2 linked regions of the Nothobranchius furzeri genome follow. The protein of the gene in region 1 interacts with the protein of each later gene in a pairwise test. Links are inferred from orthologs where the notes say so. Each region holds a gene or a part of one and is shown on either strand. Other genes may lie near its edges.

Evidence for each region.
Region 2: the proteins of pcsk5b (region 1) and nufip2 interact in binary tests that used the Homo sapiens proteins (3 or more experiments, as listed by UniProt). The two-hybrid records come from large-scale screens. The link is inferred for Nothobranchius furzeri from reciprocal best matches to the Homo sapiens genes PCSK5 and NUFIP2.

The regions. Positions count from the first base shown.
Region 1 is NC_091757.1:46,947,195-46,963,424, forward strand, and holds the end of pcsk5b (proprotein convertase subtilisin/kexin type 5b), read left to right. Parts: intron 1-4,260; coding exon 4,261-4,321; intron 4,322-4,393; coding exon 4,394-4,539; intron 4,540-4,696; coding exon 4,697-4,903; intron 4,904-5,076; coding exon 5,077-5,160; intron 5,161-5,739; coding exon 5,740-5,926; intron 5,927-6,010; coding exon 6,011-6,225; intron 6,226-7,316; coding exon 7,317-7,559; intron 7,560-7,658; coding exon 7,659-7,892; intron 7,893-7,963; coding exon 7,964-8,144; intron 8,145-8,216; coding exon 8,217-8,434; intron 8,435-8,568; coding exon 8,569-8,669; intron 8,670-8,877; coding exon 8,878-9,082; intron 9,083-10,596; coding exon of another isoform or gene 10,597-10,661; exon of another isoform or gene 10,662-10,933; intron 10,934-10,955; coding exon 10,956-11,365; 3' UTR 11,366-11,703; downstream 11,704-16,230. Other genes in the region: rfk (riboflavin kinase), read right to left, coding at 13,418-13,590, 13,713-13,815, 14,527-14,678, 15,962-16,043. UniProt on the Homo sapiens protein: Serine endoprotease that processes various proproteins by cleavage at paired basic amino acids, recognizing the RXXX[KR]R consensus motif. Likely functions in the constitutive and regulated secretory pathways.
Region 2 is NC_091750.1:49,395,881-49,412,844, forward strand, and holds nufip2 (FMR1-interacting protein NUFIP2), read left to right. Parts: upstream 1-7,826; 5' UTR 7,827-7,922; coding exon 7,923-8,070; intron 8,071-8,277; exon of another isoform or gene 8,278-8,413; intron 8,414-8,826; exon of another isoform or gene 8,827-8,962; intron 8,963-9,366; coding exon 9,367-10,998; intron 10,999-11,364; coding exon 11,365-11,397; intron 11,398-11,563; coding exon 11,564-11,616; 3' UTR 11,617-12,113; downstream 12,114-16,964. Other genes in the region: glycine receptor subunit alpha-2, read left to right, coding at 972-1,195, 3,540-3,622, 3,708-3,845, 3,923-4,137, 4,220-4,378, 4,673-4,768, 4,852-5,124. UniProt on the Homo sapiens protein: Binds RNA.

The sequences.
Region 1 (16,230 bases):
GAGGCCTGCTGGAAGCAGCTCCAGGCACGCCAGCTCCACTTTACCAAGTCCAACAGGTAGCAACCCGCCACTCTGAAGTTGCAAGTGCGGTATTCTGGCTACAGAGGGTGGTGGGGGGTCTGAGTGACTTTTTATAAACCCTGTAAAAGGTCGTTTTAGCACATACTGGCTCAAGAAAATGATTTTAAAATATAAAAAAGTCTCATATTATTAATTTAATCTCAGAAGTTTTACCTTTTTTTGGAATTCTGACTTAAGTATCAGTATTAAAAAGTCTGAATTCTGAGATTAAAGTCAGAAATCTTTTATTTTTTCTTTCTAGTGGCACCAATCACCCTCCATAGAGAAAGGCTTTGTGTTGCTGCAGAGATTAGAATTAAAAACTCAATTTGAGTTCAGAGTCAAAACTGAAAGGTTGCTGTTCAGGCGAGTTGCCATAAAATGTTGACCTCACACTACAAGTCCGTGTGTGGTCTCTGCAGAACCCGCCACATTAAGACAAAAGCACTTCTTCCACTCAGACACAACTATCACTAACGTGGAAAGTTGTTATTGTGGAGTGAACCCATCTGAGGAGGAGACGGGCTGTTATTATGTCATTATGCATTCTGGCTGGAAAACATTTCAGCCCCCGTTCAGACCTCCTGCCACTCAGCCACGACCCTGCGCTCTAACCAAACCAGCCTGGTAGATTTCAGAGGATTGTCCCCATCCTCTTTTAACATGACACTGTCAGGAGGATTGGACCCAAAATGCAGAACATCACAACTCAAGGCTGGAGAGGTCGTTTAAAATAAAAATCCTTTTATTAGAAAAACCAAGACTGTAGGACTCTAAGCAAAGAATAACTAAAGATCTGTAGATGGAAAAAAACAAAAGCTCACTCATGAGCCAGGAACTATAAATCTGTAGAGGGCAACGCTGACATAAGACAATGAACCGACAACCGCCGGAGACACAGACAGGGTTATACACACAAGGCTGGGGTGATAGGAGACGAGGAGCAGGTGCGTGGGGAACTGGGTACAGGTGAAACTAATAACCGAGAGGAGGAGCAGAACGGAGCAGGGGAGGAAACCAGACCTAACTGGGGAGGGGAACACACACACACACACACACACACACACACACACACACACACACACACACACACACACACACACACACACACACACACACACACACACACACACACACACACACACACACACACACACACACACACACACACACACACACACACACACACACACACACACAAGGAGACTAAGAGAACATGGGGAAAACCTGGAGGGGGCTAGGGACCAAAGGGACACAGAACACGACAGACACTACAGATAGATGCGTGCATACTCCTGCTTACTCTAGTCAGGGGTGTCAAATATGCGGCCCACGGGCCAGATCCGGCCCGCAAGCGGGTTAAATCCGGCCAGCGAGATGGTTGTGTAAACTTTATTTTCATACTTCACGATGTAGAGTGAAAATAAACTTATCATTGTGAGCAAGTTTCCTCTGTAATGAGTATAAATAAAACAAAGCTGTGCTCAAGGCTCACACAAGAACTTGAATCACATCCTGAAGTTGGCCGCCACTCAGGATGTGACTTCTGATATTGATGTGCTGGTGAAAGCTAAAAGATGTAAAGTAAAATGAGTCAAATATACTTTAAGTGCTGCATGAAACTGATCTTGCCATGTGATCTGTAAGCTCTTTCAATCACTAAGGAATGTTTCTTTTATTAGTTGATTTTTTTATGTGTTGATTTTATTTTATTTTTTTCAAATTTTCAAGTATACTTCAGGTGTTGTACATGTACTACACTGTCCTCAGGCTCCAGCCTTGTTTTATATTGATTGTATTAAAACAAAGAAAACAATCTGAAGTTTTTTTTTTTAATTTACCGGTCCGGCCCACTTGGGACTAGATTTCCCTCAATGTGGCCCCTGAGCTAAAATGAGTTTGACACCCCTGCTCTAGATGCTTTAAAGCTTACATCAGACCCCCCCCCCCCCCTTATTTTTTCTTCTCATTGGTTATTTAAAAAAAGGGGTAAAGATCATAAAACTGAATCAAGATCTGATACAGGTCAGACTTAATGTAATCCCAATGACATGATTTAGATTAAATCTGCATTCTTTATCCTGGAAGTTATTTAACATGATCATTCAACCAATAGAAAGCTATTATACTTACACCTTATCAAAGAATGCACCTGCCCGAGCCAAATAGCTTTATTACTTTTTAAACTCATAATTATTATGTCTGCTGTCCTCCCAACAATCACTTTTTCCTATAATCTGTGCTGAGGCATGAAAATATTCTAGAAATGGGTTAGTCATGTGTTTTTCTTTATTTGATCACTGGAAAGGTCTAAAAGATCTCATCTCTGTCCCGTCATCCTTGGTGCATATTTCAAACCTTTTTTCTGTCTTTCTGTCAGTGAGCAGCGTTTAGAGTCCCTGCAAATGAATCCGAAAGATTGTTGTTCATTTTTGCTGACTGGAGTGATGATTTGTAGTTTTCACGTTTTCTAAACCGCAAGCCCGCCGTGCTGTTTTGGATTGATGTGTGAGACAACCACCACCGTCATTAAAACACCAAATGAAGGACTATATTTTGGAAGATGCCCTCCAGCAGGGTTGCACTAGAAGTGGAGGCAACATGTGGAGGCCCAACACCTTACTGAGACATTTATTATGGACCCTGTCTTTATATTTGTTGGTCTTTTCTAATCCTTCCCTTTAAAACAAAATGTTTTCTTACAAATCTTAATGAATTGGTAATGTAGTGTGCCCAGTCAAAGCTGTTAATCCTCTTTATGTGGAGCCGCTCTTTCCGCTCTGAGGCCTGCAAGCTTATCTTCAGCTCTGACCGACTGAAGCTCTTGCTGTGCTTGATCCGATTTACACGTTTAACTGATATTTATTATTTTTTTTCCAGCATTTCTTGGTAAAATCCAAAAGTGACTATTTTAAGTTCTGAATCCAACTATCGTCACTCTTGACTGAGTCCCTCTTCAGCGTGTCTAAATGCATGCACGTCATACGTGTTTCCCATAAAGGCTGCTGTGATATACGGCTTTGATTGCATGTACACAGAAAAAAAAACGTGTGCTTGCACATTCCACAAGTCAATACTTCAGGATGTGCACGCCATCTGAACCCCCCTCCTCCTTCCACCAGATTGCACAGTTAATATTTATGCGGGCGTTATTTTCTCTCATAGACACAGCCTGGAGGCATGATTTCCGGCTCCTCGCTCGCGTTTGCCTATACCTCCGTGCCTCCCACCTCTCCATTTTTCCAGGTCTCTCCCTGTATGAGTAATTGCTTTCACAGGTTGTGGCTTGTTGACTGCATTGAAGTGCAAACCAGTGCAGAGCTAAGTTGTGGGTGCTGGAGAGAGACAGCAAGAGGAATGGGCTGTGGGGGTCGATGGAGGTTTTTCTTGAGAGGATTAATGTCCCGGGGGAAGGTCTGCAGAAGTGTCTCTTTAAACCATCCTTTACCTCCTCTCCTTGCCTGTCTGATCATCCCCATCCTCCTTTTTTCTTGTTCTCTTGCCAAACTACTTTTTCTCTCTCTGTCCTTGGAGATTTTTTTGACATTGTTGAACCAGGAGATGACAGAGTGGGCCTTCCATAGTTACTAGTTGAATGGTTTTGACTGACGGCAGGGATTAATTAGTTTGAGGGGAGCAAACTTCCTTTTCGGTGTGTGTGTTTGAGTGTTTGTGAGTGTGTGTGTGTGTGTGTGTGTGTGTGTGTGTGTGTGTGTGTGTGTGTGTGTGTGTGTGTGTGTAGGCACACAGTACAACATCCTAAAATCTCTTGAATTCTTTTTTTAGTATAAAAAATCACAAAAACAAACAACTTCAACCTTCTGTGCACGTTTTTCTTGTGTAAAGCAAACTGCACCTGCAGCATAAACAACACACACACTCGCAAAGCTGGACTCAAAAATAAAATCAGTCACACACATTCGTAAGTACCCTCAGAAATGAGGAGTTGTGTCTTAAAGCACTGATCACAGGCAAGAAGAATCTACCACTAAGCTATTGATTAAATGTTAGAGTACCCCCTGCTGGTGGAAAGAGGTTCTACACAAGGAACCAAACTGTGGACATTATATTTATGACTGAAATCTGTTCTTAAAATAGTAAAATTAATTTGAAGTCTGATAAAATCCTGCAGCTCTACATGACGTTTTGCTCTGATATCGGATTTTATATGTTTGTTTTCATTTCTGCATGCCATCTCAGAGGATGCTGGAGACGAGGAACAGAAAACCATGTGTGTTAAATGTGAAGATGGTTTCTATCAGTAAGTGTCCTTAGACTGAGTCAGAACACTGTGTCCGCAGCATTTTTTTTAATTACTGTGTTTGTTCTCCAGGTTAGGAGCTGACTGCCAGAAGTTCTGCCCAGATCGGACCTACAACGTGGAGGACACCATGGTGTGTGCTGCCTGTGAAGATAAACACTGTGCAGTGTGTGACCAGTCTCAGTGCTACTGGTGTGATCATGGATTCTTTGTCTTTGGTAACAGTTGTCATTTTTGAGTTTCAATCAGTTTTAGATGGTGAACTCCTAATTAAAAATTATTTTTAACACTGATTGTTTCAGTTCATCTCATTCGTGTGTGTGTGTGTGTGTGTGTGTGTGTGTGTGTGTGTGTGTGTGTGTGTGTTTTGTGCAGATGGAGAGTGTGTGGACCACTGTGAGGAAGGGTACTTTGTGGATGAGGAGACCCAGGAGTGTGAGCCATGTCACCGCAACTGTCGCACTTGTGGAGGGCCCAGACATGATGACTGTGACTCCTGTGAGGACGGGGTGACACTGTCGGACGGGGAGTGTCTCGAGAGAAGAAAGCTGGTTGTTTGTCCTGAGAAATATTTTGTAAACAGTAAGTCCACACTGACCTGATCTGACTGGTGAATATTTTAATCTTTTGTGTTTCTAATCCAAAGAACAGGAATGCAACATCAGTAGATCACTTCTAAAATGACAAATTGTCTTTCTTTGGACTTAGGACTCTTATTTCTGTCATTCTAACGGTAAAATGTCATTTCTCATCAGATCAGGACAAATGTGAGCCGTGCCACACCTCCTGTAACACATGTTTTGGTGCAGAGAAGGGAAATTGCAGCAGTTGCCACTCTGGTAAATGGTTTCTATGCTGTAGTAAAATGTCTATAAGAACTTGCAGAGTTCAATCAACAGCACACATCCTGATCAGTGTGTGTAGATGTATGTATGTATGTATATATATATATATATATATATATATATATATATATATATATATATATATATATATATGTGTGTGTGTGTGTGTGTGTGTGTTGTGTATTTTCAACTCCAAAGGAGTTGAATTTAACTCAGTTTAGATAACATCAGGTCCCAGTCAAAAATAGAGTAAATGTACTCTTCAGCCAGTGTTACATTTTCAGTGTTAAGTACTTCCTGTTAGTTTTGTCATTAACAACAAACTAGACGAGTAAATGAAATAAACTCCATGTAGAGTAGACATGTAACACTGCATGTCTGCAGAATGTAACACTGACTTTTAACTCTGATGTTTGAGTTGGTTTACTCTTTAAATAGTTGCAAACACTTGGTTAAAATAAGTTGACACTCTATTTTTTTTTTACAGTGAATACTCCATTGAACACAATACAAAGACATTAACCTAACTTCTCTACTAAACTGGATGATTTTATAACTTTTTTGTGGTTTTAGGAAATTTTTTGACACCTCTTCAGTCTTGTCTTTCCCATTGTCCCTCTGGGACATTTGGCGATAAGACAACTGGTCGGTGTGAGGAGTGTCTCACAGGGTGTGCAATGTGCCGAGAAGCAGAAGTCTGCCAGGAGTGTCGCAAAGGACTTTATCTGCAAAATGGAACGTGTGTGGTGACATGTCAGAGGTGCTCCTGTTGTATGACTTTTCGATTTGTACATTCACCCAACAAATGCACATACGAACGCCGTTTTATCTGCTTCGTTCCCAGAGGGTTTCCGCAAGGTGCTGCATGCCATCCGTGTGCCTCAGAGTGCGGATCCTGCAGGGAGACTCCGTCTCACTGTTTGAGCTGCCAGAGTCCATTTTTGCTGCTGGATCATTCCTGCCTGTCCTCCTGTCCAGAGGAATTTTATAGAAACAACACAGAATGCCATCACTGTCCAGATCACTGCAGAGAGTGCAATCAGGATGGTCTGTGTAAGAGTAAGTACACTCGGTGGATCAGTGGGACGTAGAAGCCCTCTAATAAGAATTCTGCATAAACAACCTTGAAGAGTTATTGACCGGGATGTTTTAAGTGACAATAAATAAAACTCATCCATCCATCCATTTTCATCCACTTATCTGGGGGTTGGCAGTAGCCGAAGCACAGAGGCCCAGACTTTTCTCTCCCCAGCCACTTGGGCCAGCTCCTCTGGGGGGAATCCAAGGTGTTCCCTGGCCAGCTGAGAGACGAAGCTTGTCCTGGGTCTTCATTTAGGTCTCCTCCTGGTTGGACGTGCCCGGAAAACCTCACCAGGAAGGCATTTTAACCAGATGCACAAGCCACCTCAACTGGCTTCTTTCAATGTGGAGGAGCAGCGGATCTCCTCCGAGCCCAGATGACTGAGGTTCTCAACCAGTCTCTAAGGGAGAGCCCAGCCACCCTGTGGAAAAAACTCGTTTTGGCCGCTCGTAATCGCGATCTCGTTTTTTGGTCACTGGCCAAAGCTCGTGAACAAGGTGAGGGTAGGAACGTAGATCGACCGATAAATCGAGAGCTTCGGTACAACGCCCGCATCACTGCAGACGCAGCACCACTCCGCCTGTCGATCTCACGCTTCATCTTTCCCTCACTAGTGAACAAGACCCAGAGATACTTAAGCTTCTCCACTTGGGGCAGGACCTCATCCCTGACCTGGTGAAGACATTCTACCCTTTTCCGACTCAAGATCATGTTCTCGGATTTAGAGGAGCTGGTTCTCATCCCAGCTGCTTCACACTCGGCTACAAACAAAGACCAAGAATTCTAAATTTAAGCATATTTTGCAGTTTGTGGACATTATGTCAAAAATAATGTGAAAAGAGACTTTACTATTAAACATAACTGTGAAATCAAATAAAACTAAAACGTCTTTGAAATAATAAAATGAAAAAATTCCTCCACTGCATTTAGTCCCTTCTTAATGAACTGAATGCATGTTTAAGTTCGTAAAATCAGACATCATTGAGGTCTCATTTCAATATTTGTGAGCAGGAGAAATTTCAAACAATCGTCATTTATCACCTTGCAAATTTTTTGCTTTCTGTCTCAGAGTGTGCGGAGTATTACTTCCTCCATGTTGACGAGTGTGTAGATGATTGTCCTGAGGGTTACTTTGCCAGTGACAAGCAACAGGAGTGTGTGCGCTGTCATGCTGATTGTGCATCGTGTGACGGGCCAGGCTTTGATGACTGCGACAGGTGTAGCAACACAAGAGCTGTTCGTTACAATGGAGAGTGTCTGGCTAAGTGTCCGAGCAACACTTACTATGACAAGAATACAAATGAATGCAGAGGTAGGAAAAGTGAAATCTGAGAGTGCAACATTTGTGTTATAATCACAAGATTTTTGTCCTTGCTGCGGTTTCCAGAAGGCTTTGTTCTTGTTTCTTCAGATTGTGACAAGTCGTGCTTGACCTGCTCGGGTTATGGTCCATCCGACTGCCTCAGCTGTGATCCCAGCAGGCGCAAGGATGCCAGTGGGCACTGTGTGTGGTACAGTGAGTGCTCTATGGACTCATACATGGACCCAAACGGAGAGTGCCAACAGTGCCACGCACTCTGCAATCGCTGTAATGGTGCAGACAGAGACCACTGCCTCAGCTGCAACAGTCAGCGCTTCCTGCTGAGTGAGTCTTCCGACTTAAGACTTTTATTTCTTTGCATTTAAATACATTTTCATTGCATTTGTGTTATTTAGACAACACCTGTGTGAAAAAGTGTCCCGTGGGTTACTATACTGAGGTCAAAGAAGGGCGTGAGTGTCAGCGATGCCACTTCAGCTGCGAGTCTTGTGTTGGTAATCACAGTCTGCAGTGTGTCGCCTGCAAACCTGGATATTTTAGGCAGGGCGGCAGCTGTGTAGAGACCTGCTCAGAGAGGTAAACAATGCTTATTTAGAGAGGTTTTTTTTGGTGTTCATCATCTAAACTGAAATTCTATTTGTTTTTCAGCTACTTTGGCAACAGGAGCACAAAGATCTGTGAGCGATGTGACCCTTCGTGCAGCCAGTGCTTTGGTCCTGGGAACAGAAACTGTTTGAGCTGCAGGGGGAGCTATGTGTTCATGAAGCAGTGGAGGCGATGCCTGAAGAGCTGTCCTCTAGGATACTACAAAGACAAAAGATCTACCACCTGCTCCAAGTGTCACCCAACCTGCAAAACCTGCAGTGGTAAAAAAAAAGAAAGACGTACTGACGTCATGTGGGATAAGGAGATGAAGAACGTCTGCGTTGTGTTTTTTAGAACAATTGTTTTTGAGTCATGCGATGAGATCGTGCTTTGCTTAAAATTCCTGTCATTTCAGATGAAGGAGCTCTTGCTTGTCTATCTTGTTACGACGGCTTTATGTTTATGGGTGGATACTGTTATAACCCTTGCATGATTGGCTTCTATCCAGCCTCAGAGGTGACAGAAAACATTTATGTTTACATTAACTGGTTTTATATCAACAGTAGGACTGAAACAATTCAACATGAGTCAGAACAAAAGGTTCTTTGTTCCACCACATCTTCCTTTTAAGGAGCCAAACGTCCGCCAAAGTCTTAAACCATTAATGTGCTCTATCATTTTTGCACAGTACTGCACACACATACATGTTTTTGTGTTATTTCAGGATTCTGAGAGTAAAACACTCAAATGTAAAACTTGTGATCCTTCGTGTGAGGGCTGCTGGGGTTCCAGCTCATGGCAATGCACTCTGTGCCCCCCGACCCAGCTCTTATCTGACGATGGCCGCTGCTTGAGTTGCTGTGGAAATCCGACATTTCCGTACGATAAACCAATCCCGAGGGAGTGCTGTGACTGCGAGGCATCCCGAGGTGAACAAAACACTCACTGTGAAGCACATTTTGCAGCTAAAATAAGCCAATTGCTTCATCTCTTCAATGAAATTCCCTTTCACGAATTTGTGAATAGATGTGTTTATTCTTAATCATAAAATGCTTTTTTATGTGTGTAATTTATTTATAAAGGTCTTCCCTCTTTACTTCATCCAGCTGAAATGATTGCCAAAGTTTTAACTTCCAGCTAAACGGCTGTTCCCAGTATTTGATGCGGGAGCATTTCAACTGCCCTTGGCCTTCGTTTCTATAGATAAGGCGAACTGAACGGTTGTGAAACTCACTCAGAAATTCTTTGGGAACTGTTTTATTTTGTCTTTCAAGTCCGAACAAAAAAAGAAGAGAGGTCAATTTAAGAGATGAAAGGGCTACATAGGGGTTAAGAAAAACGTACAAATGTTTGATGTCAGCATTTAACCCCGAAATCCAATATGCTGACATAGTCTCATAGCCTGGCAAGACAGACTAAATAAATGTATTATTTAGTCTGGCAACGCTCCATTGACGGCTCTCAGTTGTGGGGCGGTTGCTACTGTTGTCTTTCAAATGAGCTCTGCATGCTACTGGACAATGAATGTGACATACTCACCGCAACAGCCATCGGTAAATGAGGCGGTCCGCAGTTGAAGAAGGAGAAAACACATCATTTTTTCTAAAAATAAGCTCTTAAATACATCTATCTGCTCCTGATTCTAATGAAGCCCAAGTTCTAATAGTCCAAAATTAATGTAAAAGCTCCATGCTTTCGTTCTTTTTTAAACACAGAAACAGTTTTGTTTACCTGTTTGTAGCTACAGTTTCGCCGACAGCTGCCGGCTTCTTCAGGCTGACGCTGATGGTGGCGCGTCACTTCCTTCTCCGTTTATCTGCGGGCAGCAGAGGATGTTGTCGCCCTCTACTGCCCACTCTCCCCTCTCCGACGATGCAGTCCCATGCGTGTAAACTCCGTCGTCCCTGTTCATGGTCCCACATCCACGTCTCCTTATCTCGATTGCTTCCTTGATCCATCTTTTGTATTTTTGTTGTTCAGTGGTTATGATCCGTGTGCTGTCCCAGTCCATTATATGGTTTTCTCTTATGCAGTGATCTGTTACGGCTGACTTCTTTATTGTACTTTCTGCTTCTTCTTTTGCTGCTCTTGTGTGTTTTCGATTTGCCTCTTTCTCGCACTCCTTTCTGGCAGCCGTCGGCGAAACTGTAGCTACAAAACAGGTAAACAAAACTGTTTCTGTGTTTAAAAAAGAACGAAAGCATGGAATTAGAACCACGACACAGTAAGAACACACCTAATAATGTAAAAGCTGTTTCAAACGAGCTGTCGCCATCTTGTTTCACTCTGTTGCATCATCCCACCCACCAGGTAGATAGAGTGCCCTGATTGGCCCACAAAGCGGATAAAGCGCTGTGATTTGTTCACTAAGCAGATAGAGCACTATGATTGGCCCACCATTATGGAACAGTCACAGCTCTTTATGTGTTTGAAACCCCTCTAGAGAGCTGTGATTGGCCAGCCAGAATGCCGTTAGGGGCTGCAGAGGTTCCAGTGGAGCGTTCCTAGACCAAACTTTGCAAAGCAAGAATTTGGTCTAGTTCACTAGGCTAATAGTCTCACTTACTCGGACACCAAAATGTACTGGTAAGTGGTCCCCTCATAAAAATTAAAAACTCGCTTTAGGTAACTAGCAACTCATATCTTCTATCATGATTACCTGGCCGTTCCACCAGACACTGAAGCGTCGCGTAATGCCTGAAAGAAAACATTGGTCATTCCTAAAAGAGAATTTATATCTGCTGCACACCAAAAATCTGTTATCATTTGTTAATATGCTTTCTCCTCTTCCTTCTTCTCCAGTGGAGTGCATCCTGGGGGTCAACTTTGTGATGAAGACGGTTGATGATGTAAACAGCACTCCTAGACTCTTCATCTGTATTTGTGTTGTGGTTATCCTCTTTGTGGGCCTAGGAATCTTCCTCTTCCTCAGCACTCGGTCAAAGCCTTGCTCCACGAAGCCTAGAACCAGAGCCGGAGGCTACGAGCAGCTGAACACCAACGGGGGCTTCATGCCACAAACCACCACCTCTGCGTTTGGAGAGTACAGCGACAAAATCACGGAATGTGAGGACAACGATGAAGAGTACGTTGATGAGGATATTGTGTACATGACAAAAGATGGAACGGTGTATCGGAAATTTAAGTACGGACTGCTGGATGATGATGATGTTGAGCTGGAGTATGACGATGAGAGCTACACGTTTAGATAAAAACATCAAACCAGTTCTTTACATTTTTCTGTGGTTAAAATTTCCTCATGATTGTGATGTAATTTTTTTCTAATGTGTCCTTTTAGAATATTTTGCACAATGTGTGGCTGAAGCAAGGTGAAACGTTTCTATTTCAGAATTATAGCTATTTAAGTCTTATCACTAACGTCTATAAATGTTTGTTATTGCCAGATTGTGTAACATACTGTATGACTCACAAGAAACAAACTGTTCAGTTCCAGTTTAAATGACAGTTGGTTACCGGACTAGTTATTCATAAATGTCATGTACCATTGTGAACGTTTTCTGAGCTCCAAAAATAAAAAACCCTACAAACATGTAGCAGAAGATTTTGCAAACACTTTCCAACAAGTGTCTCTTTACTAATGTTACTTAGTGCATTATTAAGCATTAATAAACTATTAAAGTATTAACAGCTACTTAACCATATTATGTAGTGCATTACTAATTACTTGTCCTAACCTTAAGGACACTTAATAACAATAAAGGTAAAAGTAATAAAGGGTCCCTTTGTTTATTAATGCTTAATAATGCACTAAGTAACATTAACATAGGGGCTCTATTGTAAAGTGTCATTTTAATTGCTTTTTTAAATTAATATTGAGCTGTAAATAAAAGACTTAACAAGGAAATACAAAAAATAAAGATTTTAAATAAATATGTGAAAAAACGTGTTGGTTTTGAAGTTCGGATCTGTGCAACACTGAAAAAAAGGGGGTGTAATAAAACACAAACTACATATGTCATCTTCAGAAATACTAATTTATATGGTTTAAAAATAATGCAAAAACATAAACGCTTAAACTGTTCAGTCTGCTTGCAGGAACCTACGCTCTTGCAATAACACCAGTATACCGTTGCAACAGACGAGTACAAAAACACCAAAATCATAACAGATTTCTTGTGATATTTTACAGATTTTCTGAAGCAGCACATTTGACTTGAACAAAACAAAAAACCAACCCCCCCCCCCCCCCCCCCCGCACACACACAAAATATACAAAAATAAGAGATGAAGTGATTAACGTGTCAACATTCATGACAATGTTGAGTTTATTGTCTGCATAACATTTAACAGAAAAAAAAGATCTAAACTCTAAACATTAAATATCCCAACTGAAACAAATTACAAAATGGCTAAATAAATCATGATTGAAGGTTTCACCAAATTTCTCAGGCACACACAGGCATTAAATCATCTCACAAGATGTTTCTTTTATAGCATTTGATGATTTCTGCAAAAATCAAGAGACCACATACTTTATGCAGAGTAGATTTCTCTATAGATTTTCAATGTGACGAGTATAAATTAATGTTTAAAGACTTTAAGAAAATATCAAAATAACACGTGGATCCCCCCCTTTTCAAAATTTTACCAATGTTTATACCTAAATAAAAGGTGACGACCTTCATTAAAGCCTAAGTGTTCTGTTCATAAATGAATCTTTTTCATCCATATGAGTCATTTTAAAATAAATTTAAGATAAAAAAAATATACCCTGCAGCAGGTCTCTCAACAAATCTTTCCAAAAATATTCCTAATAAATTAATGCATTATGGTTCGAAACCCAAATGATCTGAGAAGTTTCTAATTTCAGGGCCTAAATGATCAAGACTCTAAAATACAGAAAGGACAGAAAAAGGGTAAAAAGTACAGTTATTTTATGTAAATTCATATCTTCAGTAAGAGTTTTAATTATAGTGATACAACCCACAAACAATAATTGTCAACATTCTTAATTTTTCTTTAATTTAATATTGGTGCAAACTTCTTTACCAGGTGGTAGTACACAGTATACACAGAAAGTATTTATTTCCTCCCCTCTTTAAATGACTAACTATACAGCAGGACTAGTGAGAGGCAAAGAGGCAGACTGGTATGAATATTTACATAATTCATAATCTACTCAAAGACTGGCTGCATTTCAACAGCTGTTAGAACAAAAAAAAAACCTAATAAAGAAAAATAAAAGTGAATGAAAAGGCGGTTGTGGATATGCGCTAGCTTTGTTTGGGTGTCTCAGCCAGCTGTCAGTGACCATTAATGATAGTCTGGGATGTGGATGCGGAGCTTGACGATGATACTGGAGACGAGTTTGTCGTGTTGGTGAAGAAGTGGTCGTCTTTTAGTTTGCGATGCTCTGGGAGCTCCAGCTTGATCTTAGCCTCCTCAATGTCATTATTGATGGCTGCGATGAGAGCTTCTGTTGAGATGGAGATGGACAGAACAGAGAATGTGGGCGAAAGTAGTAAAAAAAAACAAAAAACAATAAGAACTTTGAAACCAGTGTATATTCATCTGAGGTAGGTGAGGAAAAAGGCGTACCGAGGGAGTTGTAGGTCCTCTCTGGGCGGATGAAGCCCACCAAGACGACACTCAGGATATTCCCATAAAAGTCCTCTTTAAATTTGTGAATTATGTGAGTCTCCTGGAATAAAATACATTCACGTAAACATTAATAAGGACTGCAGATGCAGCTATGTTAAACAGGTTTTATTTAAGCGAGAATAACTGAGATCAACTTGTATTATTCCCTGTTTAAGCATCCCAGTCTGAAGGAGCATGGAGGAATTCTGATAATAGCTGCTTGGAATATGGAAGCATCAGATTAAATTAGCAACTCAAACCTTAAAGAAATATTCTAGTCTCAGCCAAAACTGATTAAGTGTTTCAGCTGGCTCAACCAGGAAACTAGTTTGTTTTAATGTTAGCGCCAGCTGCTCAGCATTAGCTTAGCAAACATTTAGAAGATCATTAGTGAAGTTTTTCACTCTTTAACTAAGGTATCAGTGTGATCTAATAACAAAACAGCTTTGTGAGGATTTTAAATGACTTCCCACTAAGGAGACCAAACAAAACATCCCAAATTAATCCAAAAGCTAAATGAAAAAATCCCCTCACTGAATATTATATTTAAATTAGTCAACAGTCATTTTCATATGCACTGTATTTTTGCTCTAAATCATATTGGTGTTGAACCGCTGTTTTTAATTAATTTACTGCTATATCTTTATACAATGTCTTGTGACCAGACCATCACTGATTTAAAATCTCTTCTTTTACAAACGGTAAAGATGTGTGTGAGATCACTTTCTCTCTGACCCAGCTGGAGGTGAAAAACCCCTCTAATGGTTCTTACCATAGACTTCTTTGTATTTTTGTAGTACGGGTTCCAGCCGATGCTCATCACCATTTTGTACACATTGCTATTGCCCACGGATGCCCAGCCATAATAAATTCCTGTACGGATATCTGCTGGAAGACTGTCCACCACAGAGTCTGGGAAGTTTGCTGTGGAAGCGAGACAAATCGGCGAATGATTAAAAATGAAGAAAAACAGACATGCAGAGCAACTGATCAAGCTGAAATAGGCTAGAAGTGAATGAGGTCAACCATTTGTAAGGCTGGAGAGGTGATAATTTATAAAAACAGAAGGTGAAATTCACTTAGGCTACAAACATGGATATATATATATATATATATATATATATATATATATATATATATATCTTTACAGTGTCCTTAGGGGGGGAAATGGCTCTTTGGTTACAGACTTGGTGAAGACTGATATATCAATCAGCCAATATAATCGTCTTATATTTACCGGTTTTTTAATGCATATATGCATAATTGGCATTGGTCAATATTTGTCCTTAGTAATGTCGATTTAAAGTCAGGCACATCCTCTGGCAGCTCGGTGCTGTTGCAGTATTTAATTTAAGCCTATTACTGTCACTAATAACATCTGCATAATAAATACTCTAAATAAAACTTTATTTAGGCATCTGACTTTACCACTGAGAGATGCACATTAAGATAGGATTCAAAAATTGATTCAACTTCAGAAATTTTGTGCATGAATTGATGAAGTGACATTTTACTATGAAAATACGGTGAAAAACCTCTAGATATCAGTCATGAGAATCAGCCCATAAAAAATCGGCAGTACACATCAGCATGGGAAATAGAAAAACCATCGGGTCGGCCTCTATAGTAGACCCCTTCTCTATACTGTTTTACACAATATTATGGGCTGTATTTCAAAAGATCTACTCATCACCACAGAACTTTTGATGAAAAAAGATAATTTTATGTAATTTCTCTTACTTTGACTCTAATCAACATAATTTATTTACTGCTGTGTTCATTTTTATTAAAAGAAAAAAAACACTCAGTAAAAGTGTAGTAGTAAAAGTAACCAAAGTTCAGCAATTATATAATAAACAAAACCAACATTGAAATTATAAATATTAACCCTGCGTTTAAACGTTGTGGAATAAAATACTCCAAATCAATAATCTAGGGGTTATTTTTATTAAATGGGAATTTAACTATGAACAATCCGAAGGACGCACTTCAGTTAGATGTCAAGTCCTGTTACGTAACACATTTACCTCAACAAAATAAGAGCCGCTATATGTATGTGATTACCGGCGCACAGTCAACAAATCAATCAAATGGGATGTAAACGATATTTGGTTCTTTGGCTTAACAAAACAATAATTTACTGAGTAGTCTCCATGTTGTAGGAGAGCTAACTATAAAAGGAAAGAGATGCCAGGTAAATGTCTCACCTGTGGGAATTCCGAGTTCTTTGCTTCCTCGTCCAAATCCTCGAACGACCTGACCTCGACAAAAGTACGGGAGGCTCCTCATGATGGTATCCCCCCGAAAGCTACAGAATGACCTCGAACACAGCACGAGAAAGTCGGTCAGACTTAACCAACCTGAACTGCGACGCTGGCCAAATAAATAAAAAAAAGTCCAAGTTAAAGTCCAGCCTGTACCATTGAGTCCCCCTCCACCGGTAGCTTCACCTGTCCGGTTAGCTCGAAAGCGTTAA
Region 2 (16,964 bases), on another chromosome or scaffold:
AGCATAAGAATAATATCTCACCACCCAAGGAAGATGAGCTCTCATCCTCTACTGGAGCCAAAATACTACAGAGTAGTCATACTGTAAGTAAATGTACTGCATTCTGAAGAATTTAGGAAGTAAAGCAATCCTCCATCTGTTAAAGATGGAAAATCCATTCTTCTGTAAAGTACAACCAACATCCAAGGACTGAGGTGAAAGTACCATGTGGTCCCTGAGGCTGATGCATTATTCATTCATCATGGCATTATTTCTGAATCATCAGTCTGAACACAAAGCTGCGTGTTTTCATCGTAGCTCCTGGAGCTGAACTACTTTACTGTACGAGTAGTTTTATGTGCAGGAGAAGGAAACCCCTATTCTGACCCACATCCTGCACAAATCTGTGATTTTTATGGTCGACTATCGTAAGCGTAGTGGAGCAGAGGTTTCTGGAATTGTTGCTAAAATCCAACAAGGTACACTTTAACAGTGTTTCCTTTTAGTTGCATCAAATTTTGTGATTTTATTTTGCAATAGCAGCTGCATTAGTGTTGTGTGAAAAATCTCAGAATGTTTCTTTTATATTTTATTTTATTTTATTAACTGTGACGCTTCAGATTGCTTCGTGAGTTTTTTTCCTGCCAAACTGGATGGTATTCTTTATTTATGACACATGGAAGGTGTCTTTTTAACTTTTGATTTATTCACATTTGGAGTAAGGTGACTAAAATACCTCTAACTGGAAGCCTTTAAATTTTAATTCATGAACTGGTGAGTGCTGTTTACTGTCATTCAGGTCAGGAGCACTTATGTCCGTCCGTCTTCCTGCCTCCTGTTTTTTGTTTCCTCGCCTAAAAGCTGAAGGTTTATATAATTATTGCTTCTGTTCTTAGTCCTCTCACTTTTATTAGCTTTGCATAATATTCATAAATGTGTCTAATTCTCAAATTGACCCTTTTATGTTGATTAACCCTGTCTGCATACTGTAGGACTACCGGCTTAACGTGTTTCTTCGGCAACAGTGGAACGACCCACGACTGGCTTATAAGGAATATCCGGACGACTCCCTGGATTTGGACCCCTCCATGTTGGACTCCATTTGGAAGCCTGACCTGTTTTTTGCAAATGAAAAGGGAGCAAACTTCCACGAAGTTACGACAGACAACAAACTTCTTCGGATATTCCAGAATGGAAATGTCCTCTACAGCATCAGGTGACTGGTGTGAAATGGTTTTAATAATATGCAATCGGGCTCTCCACTTAACAAGAGCTTCTGCATCCAAAGAGCTGACATCTAAACTTTAAAGAGCAAGTCGCCCCCTACCAGAGTCTCACTCCACTCCCACTTCCTGTTTGAAAAATGCAACAAATGCTGTTGCCTGGCAGACCAAGAGGGTGGAGTTGCTAACAAATACACACACGCGCGCACACACACACACACACACACACACACACACACACACACACACACACACACACACACACACACACACACACACACACACACACACACACGCACGCACGCACGCACGCACGCACGCACGCACACACACACACACACAGGCTCACGACGACAATGTGACATCATAATGTACCAGCTAAGGTCATAGTAAACCTCTTAGCCAATAGCGATGGCGGATTTAAACTCAAATGCAGTGCAGAGTTTTTACCTGAAGATGGCACAACACTAACAGTTTTAGGCAGAACATTTACATTTGAACTAAGATGCACTAAAGTGCCAAAGTATTCACTACGAGTGTCTACAGCATGATTAGGCACTCATTTATGGAGTTTATTAGCAAAAAAAAAGTTGATTTGGGGGTGACTTGAACTTTAAGCTCTCTGCCCGCCCTGCTATGTTTGTCTGAGCTCATTTGTAATTGCACCATCCAGCACGCACTGTAAACAAGGTAATGTTGGTCCATAACTGCAGGCTAACACCAAATCAGGTCAGTAAAGTGGCGCTAAAGCGGTGAGGCAACCAGGCATAAAGCTGAGTTATACAAGACGTCGGCTTCCTGCTGGTTTCTAGGAGTGTGTGTTAGCAAGAATCTGGCGATACGATATGATATATATATATATATATATATATATATATATATATATATATATATATATATATATATCACAACACAGGGGACACAATAAGCTATGTGACGTTTGCCATTTTTAAAATTGAATTCACTTTAGAAAACGCAGGCCTGGCGTTTCACAATCAGTGAAACGCCAGGCCTATCTCAATGTTCCATCAGAATAGAGGCTGTAAAAATTCAAATGTGTAAATACTTCAATAATCCCAGGAAGAAATTAAATGCTGTAGAAACACATATTGTTTCAAGCAATAATAATACAGCAGGTCTGGAGAAGCCTCTGACTGAAGATGCTCTGTTGTTGCTGCACGGTGGTATCATGTTTTATCAGGTTTATGTTTATCGATCCCTGACTCTGATGCTGCTACCCTGACAGGCGATGAGCCAAGAGACTCTCCTCACCATAGTTATAGAAGTCATGCAGCATCTTGCTGCAAACCATGAAGGACCTGAGTGTTCTGGAAAAGTACTCTGCTGTCAAAACTGCTGCCACCTAGCAGTCAGAGTTTAAATTGCACCACACAAAAGAAATTCAGTTAATGTTTGCATGCACATTCCCAATAAAATATGAATACACTGCTTTTAAATGTTGAATCAGCATCATAACGCATCATAATATTTCCTACTTCCCTACTGGTTTCTGAAATGAAGGCTGTCCTAAAGTTTAAAGCTCAGACCTCAGCTTTGATGTTGCAGACTTGGTCCTGCTGGCCCATGGGTTTGTGAGCTCTCTGTGCCCTGAGTTCTGCCTGCAAGGCTTTCATTCCCACTTGAGACCACTGCAAATGTATTATTAAATGAGTAATCTACCTTTAAAACCACATGCACGTTATTGTTGTTTAATATAGGGAACTTTGTGGTGTTTAATGTACCATGAGAAAAGCCTCTGTTGTCTCAAACCTGCTTTCCCATGTAAATTAGAAATGCTGTAATGGCCATGGAGAAACAGTTTGCTCTGAGAAAGTTGGTTTAACATCCAACCCACTGTGACATTGCCTGTACCAACGTTAGTCATGATAATGCCAACTGCAGCCTGAGCTACTGCTAATGCTAACCTGAGCTACCTCTGATGCCCTTGCTGGATAAGAAGAAAATAACAAAGAAGAATGTTGGAGCCAGAGTTCTCAATGGTTGACCCGAACCTGGTTACGCAAAAGGACGGGGACAACCAGTCGGTCCATTTTGGGCATTATTATGGGATTGGCCAGCTCTGACTTCTTTTCCTAAAGTGACAGAGCTCTGAAACGGCTCATTCTGGAAGGCACTGAAACTGCCAAGAATAAACTAATGAAACTGCTTTATGTGAGAGAGGTTTTTGAGCAAAGAACTTCACAAACACATTTTATGTAGGTCATGGAGCCAATATGTTTGTTAAAACGTCGTAACAGGTCTACTTTAAATGTAACCTTTGACCCTGGATGAAAACACTCACATGAGGACACAATAACTGCTGTCTCTGTCCTTCAGGCTGACTCTCACTCTTTCTTGTCCGATGGACCTGAAGAACTTCCCCATGGACAGCCAGATGTGTACTATGCAGCTGGAGAGTTGTGAGTTCATCTTCTAAAGCCATAAGAAGGACACAAACTTTGTCAGTGAACATGCTGCTCTTTGTGCACCTTTATCCACCTCTAGTTGGATACACGATGAATGACCTCATCTTTGAGTGGCTGGATGTTGGAGCAGTGCAGGTGGCTGATGACCTGATGCTCCCGCAGTTTGTGCTGAAAGAGGAGAAAGGTCTTGGCTACTGCACCAAATACTACAACACAGGTATGTGACACGGAGCCGGACGATGTCCTAAACTCTGGGTTTGTCAGCATCTGCTGACACTGTCCTCCTGTCTTCAGGCAAATTCACCTGCATCGAGGTCAAATTCTACCTGGAGCGCCAAATGGGTTACTACCTGATCCAGATGTACATACCTAGCCTGCTCACCGTCATCCTGTCCTGGGTGTCCTTCTGGATCAACATGGACGCCGCTCCGGCCAGAGTGGGGTTAGGGATCACCACTGTGCTCACAATGACGACGCAGAGCTCAGGCTCAAGGGCCTCACTGCCGAAGGTCGGACTATTTATTTAACATTCTACAGAACTACCCTTACAGAGTTTACCCTCCTAAACACATTATTTTTCTGCTTCTGTAGGTGTCCTACGTCAAAGCCATAGACATCTGGATGGCAGTGTGTCTTCTTTTCGTGTTTGCGGCGCTGCTAGAGTATGCAGCTGTTAACTTTGTTTCACGGCAGCACAAGGAGTTCTTCCGACTGAGGAAGAAGCTCAAAGAGCAGCAAAGGCTGAGGACTGTGAGTACAAGCCACCCACTCAGGCCCTCGGGCAGCTGTCACCTGCTATTGCCTGCACCCAGCTATGCAGGAGCAACAGTTCAGCTGCATGCTGCGCTCCGACTGGGAAAGGCAGCCAGCAGTGGCCTGTGGTTAATGCAAGTCACCTCACTTCACTGTTGGTAAACGTTCTTGTGTCGGATATTAGAGAACAAAGGGGAGCAGAAGTGGGCTGAGTCTACCATCTAGGAAAAATTATTTCCTAAATAAAGCATCTGTTTATTATTAAAAGTTGTGTATTCTCTTCTCTATTAGCAGGGCAGCAGTGACAGTAAGGTGAAGGGAAATAACACGCCAGGGAATACTCCGTATCATGGGAGTGTGAGCCAGCGTTGCAGCGCCTGTGCCAGGGTGTGTGCCGTCTCGCCGTTCAACCAAACAGCAGGTGGTCAAACCCCAAACTGGGTCTCAGTAAGTCTGGTTGTGTTTTCCAGGAGGAGGAGCTGGCCCATCAGGGTTTTCTCTTCCAGAGCATTGGACTCGCTCTGTCAGCAGGAACTGCACCAGAGATGGATGCAACCCCGGTCTTTGCCGACTTACCTCCTGGTTTAGGTTTTTATGAAATCCGGCGACGCTTCGTGGAACGGGCAAAAAGGATCGACACCATCTCCAGAGCTCTTTTCCCCATGAGCTTCCTCATGTTTAATGTCCTCTACTGGCTCACCTACAAGGTTCTACGACACGAGGATGTCCAGCTCACACTGTGAAGACACCCCGAGGACGGCAGACACGACTTCTCTTCACTGAAACTGACAGACTGAACGTCCCTAGATAAGATGCATTTTGACTGCATGCAGGATGCCACTGCAAAAATCTGGCTTTTATGCAACTCTGATGGTTTGTTTTCCATTTTATTTCTGCCAGACGTGCACTTTTTAAAATTTACAGTGAGTCAGAAACGATCAAATCCTTATATTCCAACTGAAACAAACAGTTATTCTCCTAAATGTCATGGTTCCAAACACATCACTGAGACATAACAGATATCACTGAGCTGCACTTACTGCTGTGTTGTTGTCACACTTTTATTTACAGGCTTGACATTTCTACTGCATAACTCTAGGAGTGAATATATCTATATTTTTAAGACATTAATATTTTATCTTACAGAAATTATCCAAGAAAAATTAAATAATAAAGTCTGAAATAACAGTGGATCTTCAGAATGTCTTTTATTTTGAAAAGACAGTGAGCCCTGAAGTAGGTTGAAAAGCCAAAGGAAAGATGTTGATTGACTGCTGTCCTGATTCATCACAAGGAGGACGCTGCAGAGGCAGCTTGGACCCATATCACAGGTTCTGAGAGGTTCTGCTGAGGAACCAACGTCTCCTTAAGGCTATGGTGCCTGTCTGCTGCAACAGGTCCACTATCACGGTCCAAAAAGAATCAGTTGCACAACCATCTAGAGTAGGAGTCTGCAACATTTACAATCCAAAAAGCCGTTTTTCTCCTCAAACTTTGTTTAGAGCTAAAAAGGAGTTTAGAGCGTTAGTGGTGGTCAGAGGGGCCGACGGCGCCAAATGGCAGCCTCGCCTCTGTCAGACCTCCCCAGGGCGGCTGTGGCTACAAGTAGCTTACCATCACTAGCAGTGTGTGAATGTGAGAGTGTGTGAAAGCGTCTTTGGGGGTTTTGAAAAGCGCTATATAAGTTCAATGCATTATTATTATTATTATTATTATTATTATTATTATTATAACAGGAAGTGTGGGTGGAGTAAGACTGGTAGTAAGGTGACTGACTTCAAACTTGCATTTTTATTTTATCCACACATTATTTCTTTATCATTTCTTAGAGGCTGACTGCTTAGTAGTGCATTACATAATATGGTTAAAGCTGTAATACTTTGAATAATAGTTTATTAAAGCTTAATAATGCACTACGTAACTTAATAAATGGATCCTTATTGTAACGTTTTACCAAATTTACATTTCATTACAACCTAACTGCTGAAAATAAATAAAGGATACAAAAAAAAATCTAATTCCTTTTTTTGTGTGAAACTTAAAGTGCTAAACAAATTACTTCCCTAAAATTTGTTGATACATCTAAAACTAAGAAATGGATTAAAATAAATACGAATGCTTTAGTACTTTTAATGTTTTAATTTTCAGTCAGAATAAGCTGTTAGTCAGAAATATTAACATGCTTTTTAGGTGCTTTACACTAAATCCACACTTCCATGAATTCCTTTCTAATCTAAAATTTCACTAAAACTTTTTCTCTGAGTTAATAAAAATATCACAGCAGAAAATGCATCTTAAACCCCTCGATATCTGCCAGAACACCGTTTTTATTTTAAAGATACTGCATGTCTGTGCCCTGGAGAGAACCCTTTCACTAAAACCTGTCGTTTAAAAAATAAAACCTGCCTTTAAATGAAGCAGTCATATGAATATTTTATGTCAAAGTAGCAGTCACGTGCACATTTTAAAGGTGAAGTAGGGCTGCACATATCAGCAAAAAGTGTCAGGCTAAAACAGGCGTGGTCTATTTTACTATAGATACTTAACTTTCACAGTTTTCAGACATCAGTTGAGACATGTTGAAAAAAGAAAGAAATGGTAGAGCTAAATTATATACGTGTGGGTTTTATTCTGAGTCCAGAGACAATGGTGAAGTTAGGTGATTCATTTGTCCTTGTGTTTCCTTTCCTGCTCTAAAGCGAGATTAGAAAATTATATGTTTAGCCGCTAGAGGGAGTCACTGGCGCGACTATTTAATTATTACAACTACCACAAGACAACAAAAATATAATAATAATAATAATAATAATAATAATAATAATAATTATTATTATTATTATTATTATTTCATAATTACCGTTGAATAAATCAAAGCAATACATAAATAATATTGATATGCTGTCTATCAAATAATCAGTGTTTTTATTCCTTAAATGTGGCTCTGTGTGATTCCAGCCAGGTAAAGCATGTAAAAATAAAAATGTGCATGATTTTACAAACACGTCAATTTTTCTTATAATAAGCTGATCATATATGCATTAGGCAGCAGCAAGAAAATTTTGTATAACGCAAATAAATTAACTGCTTTTCCATTTTTGGAGGGGGCTGGTCTCTTGTGACCCTAATGTGTCAACTAGCTGGAGACGTGGCAGCGCCTCGGGTCATATGATTTAGGCTCTTCCACGAACCCCACCCCGTTATTTCACACTCCATATATATATATATATATATATATATATATATATATATATATATATATATATATATATATATATATATATATAATTTGAAATCACTCCCGTGTTATCCTAAACTTCTACGTGTGCGCACATTTTAAAGTCTTATGAAATACTCTTTAAGCACCTAGGAGTTGATTCTAAAGGTGGGTTTCAGAGGAGTGACCACCCAAAACAGGGCCATTTTTAGACATTTTACTGCTGACGTTTACAGAGGCTTCAAATAGCTTCCGTTTGACTCTGGTAGTGATTGGACTGAGAGCTAATAACACACAGGCGGAACGCGTCCGACATTCTTCACTTCAATGGAGGAACAGCCCAAAGATCGGGCACAAGACAGGCACTACCACCACCACGGGGAGGACAGGAACTCTACTCAACGCACAGCTTGTCTGAAAAATGATCAGAGCCACTTCCAGTGCCAGCATCAGGAAACGCAGACGAAGAAAACAGGTCGGGCCGCCCTGAAAAGTCGGCTAATGTCAATGAGCCGACTAGCATTCGCTAGCTAACGTAACTGGGAGCCAGCTAGCTCCTAGCTGCTGCCCCGAATAGTTTTGAGGACGGGCGGAGCAGCTGGTTAATCAGACAGATAGTCAGCCAGTGTCACACGAGAAACCACACATTATACTCGCTATCTGCTGACGTTGCGTGAGCGTTGTCGCTGCTGGTGGTTTGACAGATCGCAGATTGACCTTGTGCGCCGGTGCCGTGCCGAAAAAAAGAACCCTTTATTAATTTTTCTAATATAAATGTAGATACTTGTGTCCTCAGCGGTCCAGAAAAACACGAGGAGGTATGTCATTTGTAACTTTTACTCGGTGTATTGGTAAAAGAACATACCTTGGGATTAGCTTTCTGCGCTAAGAGTGCTAGTGATGGCAGGGGCGCTTTTTTTCGGCACAACACCGGTTTCACCGCCTAATTTTAAATGGCTTATGTAGCTGAATATGTTCTAAAACACCGCTTATGTCCCTCTGTATTCTAAACAAAACAACTCTTCTGTAACAGTGGCCTAAATTGTACTGATGTTATTCCAGTTAGCTCTGTGCAGTGTAGGAAACCGAGCCGGCTCCGCTGGAATGTTCTGTGCAGCCATTTCCGGTCGGCCATGTCAGAATATCACAGTTAGCTAACGCAACACTAACCGGCTAGTTAGGAAAATATGGACAACAACGACACGGTGGACGTTTTTTTACGCGTCATTGTCGACCGGTACTGTGGTGTTATCGTTGTCCGCTACTAGCTAGGCGATATTAGCAGACATTAGCCATTTGACAGGCCCTTTTGAATGTTGTCTGGAGAAGCCACGCAGCTGATCAGGCTCTGTCAGCATTAAGCGAACGTAAGCTGACAGTCGCTGTAAAATGTACATTTGCTAAATGAAACTAATTGTTTTGGCTGTGACAGGAATGTGAGGTGTGTTGTGCCAATAAATGTTACTGGGGTGGAGAAGCACTGTGGAGTAGGAAGTCCCACGTTGACACAGCACTTCCCACGAATCTGAGCCTTCAGAGGCCTAGTCATGATGCTTCACTGTAAATCTGTGCTTCCTGTATCCATCCACCTTTCCTATGCGGTGTGCCATTAATACATTGTGATAATTGTAGCATAATAAGTGTTTGGCTAATCTTAAAACATCACTTTCCAAGAAACTGCAAACCATAAACGTATAGTTGTTAGATTTTGTGGTGTCTGTAGAGTCCTATCATTTCCACATCGTCTTATTTTCTTTCCTTTTTTTTTTAGGCAATAAAAAATTAAACGTTGGCGACGAGGAAGGAGAGAGGAATCTACGTCTGTCTGATCCTGTTGGTATGTCGCTTCCTTCCCACGGCAATGGTAACAAACATGCGCACAACGCCAGTCTAAAGCAAAAAGGGGCGCAGAAGCTCTACACGCCTGCTCCAAAAGCGAGCAGCAAATTTCTGGACCGTAAGAAGAATATGGACTTTAAAAATGACAAGGAAAAGACTCTGGATTTGACTCACGATGACCTCCAGAGCTTGGATAAGAAAGACTCTGTTTTGCTTCACAACGGTGTCGTAAATTGTGGCTTCATTACAAATGGCTATTCTAGCAGGGACAATGATGGCAGCGGATCCGAAGGCGGGTACACCACTCCGAAGAAACGCAAGACCAGGTGTAACAATGCCAAGAACACTGATAATGTGACAAAAGAAAAAGAGAGAGACATGCAGCCCCGCAACACTACACAGGAGCTGGGGGCTTTGAATCCTGAGGCGACTGAGAAAGGCAGATCTACCCAGTCTGCTGCCAAACGAGCTGTCGTTCCCGAGACTACAGTGGGGGAATCTCAAAGGAAAAACTCCGATGGCAAAACAGCTGGCACCTTTGGTAAGAAAACAGAGGAACGGCACAAAGGCAAACTCTCCTCTCCTTCAAAGGAGGACCCGTGGACTTTGTTCAAGCCCCCTCCCGTATTTCCTGTGGACAATAGCAGTGCTAAAATCGTTCCTAAGATCAGTTATGCAAGTAAAGTAAAAGAGAACCTCAATAAAGTAGCTCAAAGTGGAGAAGTGGTTCCTCCTCCCATGAGACTGTCTCAAGTCCCGATGTCTGCTATGAAAACTATCACCTCAGCTAGCTTTACTAATGGTCCTGTTTCTGGAAATGGAAACGGCTGCCCGTCTGCTGGCACCTTCTTCGTTCCTGCTGCTAGTTGTATTCAATCAGCCCTGTCTGTCCCAAGTGGCGAGAATGTAGCATCTTCTCTGGAAAGTAACTGTAGCTCAACAAGTCCTGTAGATGGAGACGCTAACGAGCTTAAAAAGTGTACTCTGTTAATCTACCCTTTAAATATGCAACCTGTGCTCCCTAGTGCTCGTCACCTCGACCCACCGGCTGCTAAGACAAATCAGAAAGCCCTGGGAGACATCTTCCAGAATCAGTGGGGGCTCTCTTTCATCAACGAGCCCAACCTGGGGCTGGAGGGAGGAAACGGGCATCCTCCTGCTGAGGACCAGACTTCTGGGACTTCTCCAAGTGAGAGTCAGACTGTTGAAGACAAGGTGGTCCTGCCGTGTTTTGATGTTAGCCCAATATTTGTAGAGCCTGGAACTTTGTTCAAAGACTCTGAGAGAAGGACTTGTGCCCCTTGCCAAGCGTCAAACGCTCGTTCTCCTGCTTTTGAGGAGGAGACAAAGTTCCCGCCATTTGGCCAGGACAAAACGAAGTTTGAGATCAAAGGTTCTTCTGTCTCGGCTCTTTGTAAAGACAATGGTGCTAAGCCTGTTCAGGGCCAGCAGACCACTGTGCTGTTTGGCTCTTCTAAAGAAGTGGTCCACCCGAACGACGCTAGCAGGAGGTGTAGCTGGGGGCCCTCTGACATTAAAGCTGCTGTCGCCTATCACACTAAAGGTAACGGTGTCCGCTTCTATCTGTAAAACATATTGGTGACAATATGGCGTCCTGTGAATGGGTAATAACTGGTGTGTGTGCCAACTAAACTAACCCCAGTTTGCTGTTATTTTCCAAGCTTTCCTCGTGTGACAGCCGAGTGTGTTGGTTAGATTTCCTAGAAGTTGGTTTACAGCCCGAGTGACCTTTAAACTCCAACTTCAACTAGCAACGTTTTAAACTTAAGCATGACTTTATAACATGATGGTTTTTTTTTAAAATTGCATTTGAACATTTTGTCAACTTGCCAAGTTTTTAACTAGAGGAAACCAGAGAACACACCAGAGATGCTGAATTAACACATTTCCGTTTTTCTCCCTCAAACAGAAATGGAATCCATTTTTAACGTGCAAAAACAAGGTAAATAAACCGTTTTAAGTTTGACTTTAAAACTTGCTTTGTGTTTGGGTGCCCAGCATCACTAGTCATTGGTTTTAGTGGTTTTTGTTCAGTGACGCGGTCATGAATCCCACGTGACTGTGGGAGGGATGTGATGTTGACAAACCTTTCTTCTTCTTTGCTGCAGATCCAAAAAGAGTAGTGGTTTATGATGAGACCAAGGATGGACCTGATCAGTGAGGTAGATCTACAGTTTTCTACCTGGGCCGACGAAAACAACAAAAAAAAGTAAAAATCATGTTTGATGTGGCGACAACTGTGAAAACACTGACAGCTAAGCATGATTTCCTTTGGAATCTCGGGCGTACTCAAACTTTAATTTTTTGGTGGGCATCAAACCAACGGACACTCTGGATGGACGCTAAAGACGAGTCGATCGGTGCCTCTCCACTCTGACAAATGGACAAATGCAACTTCCTAGCTGTGGTGGTCCTTGTCTCATGGCTTTTAATGGGACAGTTTTCTGGGTTTGACAAAGGAAGGTGTCCTTGACCGCACCTCCGTAAGCCTTTATCCCGTTGAACTGTGGCGGCTTTGTGGCCCAGCTGCGGGACGCCTCGGTCATGTTCGTTCTTCATGCATTCAGATGAGTTCACTGTAGATATGTTAGTCGTTCCACCTCCGTGTGCAAGCTTGAATTCATGCTGAAGGAAAGATCTGTAAAAAAAAAAAAAAAACAGCCTTTATGTTGTGGAATAAAGGTGTCGGGAGTTCCGCTGAGACGGAAGCCTGTGAGGCTCCATGCAGGAAAAAGGAGAACTTTGTCTTAAAAATCCTTTACAGGAGAAACTACGCAGAGCCCAGAAGTTTTATATGTATTACCGCTCCTTTTTATGCTGTTTTCAACGGAACTAACCCGAATATAATTTGCTGTATGACCCGCCACCCCCACCCCACCCAGCTCAGATAGTGATGGGTTTAAAGGAAAGCTCCGCCCCTTTAACATCAGGTGTGCTTATGACACCACCAGGTCTCTGTTAAATTCAGAAGTTTTGAAACATTTCACACAGACGGTCGTCGGATATTCACAGGCTGTTGTCAAATTCCGGTTCTGGGTTTCGGAACGGCCCGGGACAAGAACCACTCACTTCTGAGCTGTTCTCCATTCTCTGCTTCTAATTCAGCTGCAACGCTCAGGATCTCTCAACACTTCATCTGGTCCGCATTCGTTTTCAGCTCTTGTTTATGGAAACCGTTTTTGTTTACAGGTGTAAATGAGTCACTGTTCATCACAACAGTAACACAACTATTGCAATATGAACCTCGGGTCCCCAGCTCGCCACTTTGTGTTGAAATGTGAAGACGGGTGGTGTCAAACCTTTTGCTGTGGATTAACCTGTTAGTGTGCAATAACATCATAAATGTGTTATGCGGAGCTACAAAACGTCCTGAGATGCTCGTGTAGCCTGCAGTTTAGTTTAGGTTATTATTTTTAGTGCATCCTCACTTTGTTGCACAGTTTCCTCGCTCCTTCCTCTTCTATTTGTCTCCAGGTCTCGTTAAATCTAGGGAATAACTTGGAGATCCCAAATTATCCCAACTGCCTCCCGGTTGGCGGCAACATTGTTTTAATCCTTAAGAGCGGATACGTATTTTTCAGCCTCTCCAAGAAACGGTCCTGAATTCTGTTCTGATCTGGCTAACGTGTGGATTACTGGCACTTTATGTAAACAGATGACCTTTATCTTAAATGCTATAGAAATCTATGAAAGAATGGCTCTGCGCTGTTACTTAAAACATAAAAACGTTGCTAAACACAGAATTACTAAACGAAACTCAGGTAGTGTCGATAAGCCATGGATATACTGATTATTGTGTTTTGCCAAACGGCCCCTGTCCTGTAACGGTCTCTTGTTGGAAACACGGAGTCGGAGACGCACGACGTTCGGAAAACGCACCAAAAAGAATCTTTGGATGAAAGTTTTTTTTTTGGCCTAAATAGTTTTCTTTTCTTTGAGAAAGCACAACATGTTTTCTGTATCTTTAACCGTGTTCTCGCCATCTTTGCTGGTTTCTTTTCGTGTGTGTGTGTGTGTGTGTGTTGGTTTTTCTTTCAGAGGGCTAACTTGGTTCTATCCCAGTTCGTACCCGCCTGTTCACAAAAGGTTGGAAGTGCAACAGCTTTTATTGAAGTTTTTATAAAGGCTGTCATGATGCTCTAGTTGTTAAAAAGCCTGTGTGTGTGTGTGTGTGTGTGTGTGTGTGTGTGTGTGTGTCACTACAATCTGCTGTTCTGATGAAGGATGTTATTAAGTAGCATTCTCTCCTTTTTGCCACAGTTTAGTCTGATTATGTGAAAACAAAAACTTGATCCAGTTAAATAGAAGTAAGTCTGGTTGTTAACAGGGTTAAACTGTAGTCTTAATATTTACTTTATTAGCCACCCCCCATTTTTAAAGCACTTATTGTACACAGCAGCAATGAAGATCCATTTGTTCAGATTTCATATTACGGCTGCAAACCAAAGTGTGTGTGTGTGTGTGTGTCTGTGTCAAAATCAGTTTATTTCCACTCTCCCTCTCACCAGGATGTGCAATCACCTGAAGGATGCTGATGCTGGCTTCCAGGTTGGGAGCGATGGAGTGTGTGTGTGTGTTCGTTCTTCCTCTTATATGCAAGTTCCTCCCTTCTTTAGAAGCTCTCCCCTCCCTCCTTGTTTCATGTTCAGGTGCCTGTGTGAGGCGGAGGGGGAGAACAAACTAACTTTAACGATACTTGTGATTGTTCAAAAACCTGCTTCCAGCATATATCCGTGCCATTTGATATCCCTTTGCTTCAGTTTTCTAACAGCTGATCCCAATCTTCTTTTCTTGGAACAACGGTGAGAAGCCGCACGCGTTGGCGTATTTTTATAAAACTTTCTGGGTGTGTTTTTATTTTTATTTTTTCTGTTTTGTGGCTCGCATTCAGAATCGCGACCTGAAGCCAAAATCACGCTGAAATGGGGGGAGCGGACGGCTGTGTGTGTGCTGGTGTATACTCATACCAGACCTTATCAAAATAACGTCTCTTGTAGCAAATAATGATTTAATTTGGACTCATTTATCGCGTTAATGTTAACACATTTTAAAGGTGTTTTATTTTAATTTCTTGACTTATAGCCTAATTTATCCATAGCTGCACAGGTAGACTAAACCAATAAGTGATGCAGAAAGTCCAGATGTTTTATATTAGATGTTTTAGTTGATTGAGGCTGATGTTAAACCCCTCCCTGTGGGTTTTATTTGACCCTATTGGCACCGATCTTTAATATATTTGAACATTTCTTGCAGATTTTACACAGAATTGTTGTAATTCTTCACTTTAATTGTGACGAGCGTTAAAATCCACTGCATCTAGAGTTCCTAATATATTTTATTTGTGGTGTCGATCGTCTTCTGAGGGCAACTGAGGTTTTACCGCGCAGGTGCTTTCGCCAAAGGTACACTAATCAGACGTTCGGCTATGGAACGGCGTGATGTCATCGATGGTTACGCGACATGCTGCTGGGTGAGGGGGAGACTCTAATGTAGCAGCTGAATGTCTCGTTTAACTGTGTGAGCCACGAGAGCTCCTAAAACGATTTAATCTAAAAAGGTGAATACCGAAGTGCTGCTTCTTCATCCGGTTATCGGTCACCCGTAACGGGGAAATGCTGGACGCCGTGTTCACGTAAAAACTCTCCCTCTTTTACACTAAAGGGGTTTTTTGTGTTTTCAGGACTTAATCAGAAGACATGATGCAGGCAGGTTGTGGTGAATTACATTTTAATTTCCTCTCAAATGATGTTTGAGCTTATGCTTTTTAATTTCTTTGCCCGTCTTGTATTACTTTTCCATCGGCTTTGGCTCGGAGCGACGAGGCCGTCGAACTTCTGTCTCAGATGTCTTACAAGTTGGCATTTCTGTTTTTCAGTGAGCCTGATTTATTTAAAAAGTTCTTTTGTCGAATTTAACAAATTGTCACATTACAATGTTTTTTTTAAGCATGATGATAAAACCCCTCAAATTCTGAAAAATGTAATAGTCAATAAAAAAAAGCAACTCCCATGTTCACTGTTTTAGTTTTCATTAAACTGTCGAGCTTTCTGGAAGAAGGTGACGTTTTTGTGTTTTTAATTAGTAAAGGTGGAATTTTAGTGTTTTTCTTCTGCTTTCTGCTACAGATGGAGCAACTTAAAATTGGATCTGTTATTTTCTAAAGTTTCAATTTAACTCCAGAAAAAAGTTTTCACTGAAATTAAAATGTTTATTTTAATGACATTGAAATGGACGACTTAAGTTGCAGTTGTCACAACTCCATGTATACATGGTCTTTAGATGCTTTTACATATAATCAGTTGGTTTTATTCCTCTCAAGGCGTTTGACAAAATAAACTGCTACTGAGCTCAATTCATTATGCCAGTTAGTCAAACGTTTCCTATATAAGAAATCCAGCAAAATGATTTGAGTCACTGACTTGTGTCGCTTTACAGCGATCTTCATAATAGGCAAGCATGTAGCGACAGTGGAGAGGAAAACTCCCTTTAACAGGAAAAACCTCCCAACAGAACCTGGCTCTGTACGAGCAGCCATCCGCCATGACTCACTGGGGGTTTAGAGAAGACTGAGCACACACACATGTCCACGACCAGTGTGATGTTTCTGTTGAGAGGAACCCGAGCTGGACTGGAGGTTTAAAAGGGACGGAGACGGTGAGACTGTTGTCCTCTGTGGTGCTGCTGGGTGGGGTGTTGGTCCAGGACCTCCCCATCAGTTAGAACCTTTACTCAGGTTATGAACTTTAGGTGGCAACCTATTAAATAAACTTAAAATGTTATCATGGCTCATATTCAGACTCAATCAGGAAATCACGTGTTGATGTTTTCATTTAAAATGGTTCAGATCAAAAACAACAGATGGACTAACCCGGTCAGAAAAATGGAGGTAAAACTGAGTTGGTGCAAAAACAGTGAAAATGTTGCAGATCCTGAAAGAGAATTTCACAGCGCTGAAATCTAGACAGACTGTAGAAAAGGCTGAAGGATTGTTCTCTGCAGGTCAGTCTAGCCACGCTCCATTGCTGCTTCAGCAGTTCCACCATTGTACATTCACACAAGTCAATCTGGCTAAAAGAGCCATTTTCCACTCTTCTGCGCCTTAATACGAATCTCAATGATGTTGTACTTTAAGTTAAATAGAATAGATGTTATTTGTCCCACAGTGGGGAAATTCACTTGCTACAGCAGCACATGCACTTGAAGAAAAGCAAGAAGAAAGAATAAGATTACAGGCAGTAACCTTCAACCACCAAAAACAACAAAGAAATAGAAAACTTGTGTTTCCATATGGGACACAGACATAATGTACATCTGGTATTGAATACACACTGAATATTAATTACATCAGAAATCGCTTATGCCACATCACCACAGAATCTCCTCTCCCCTAGCGTAGCTGCTACCTACCACATAGCCAGGTTTGTGGTGGTTCTTTCCTCCTGGACTAAGAAGCTTACGGCTATTTTATCTCAGCTTTTCTCCCAGTCTGGCTCAATGACGTCACTTTGG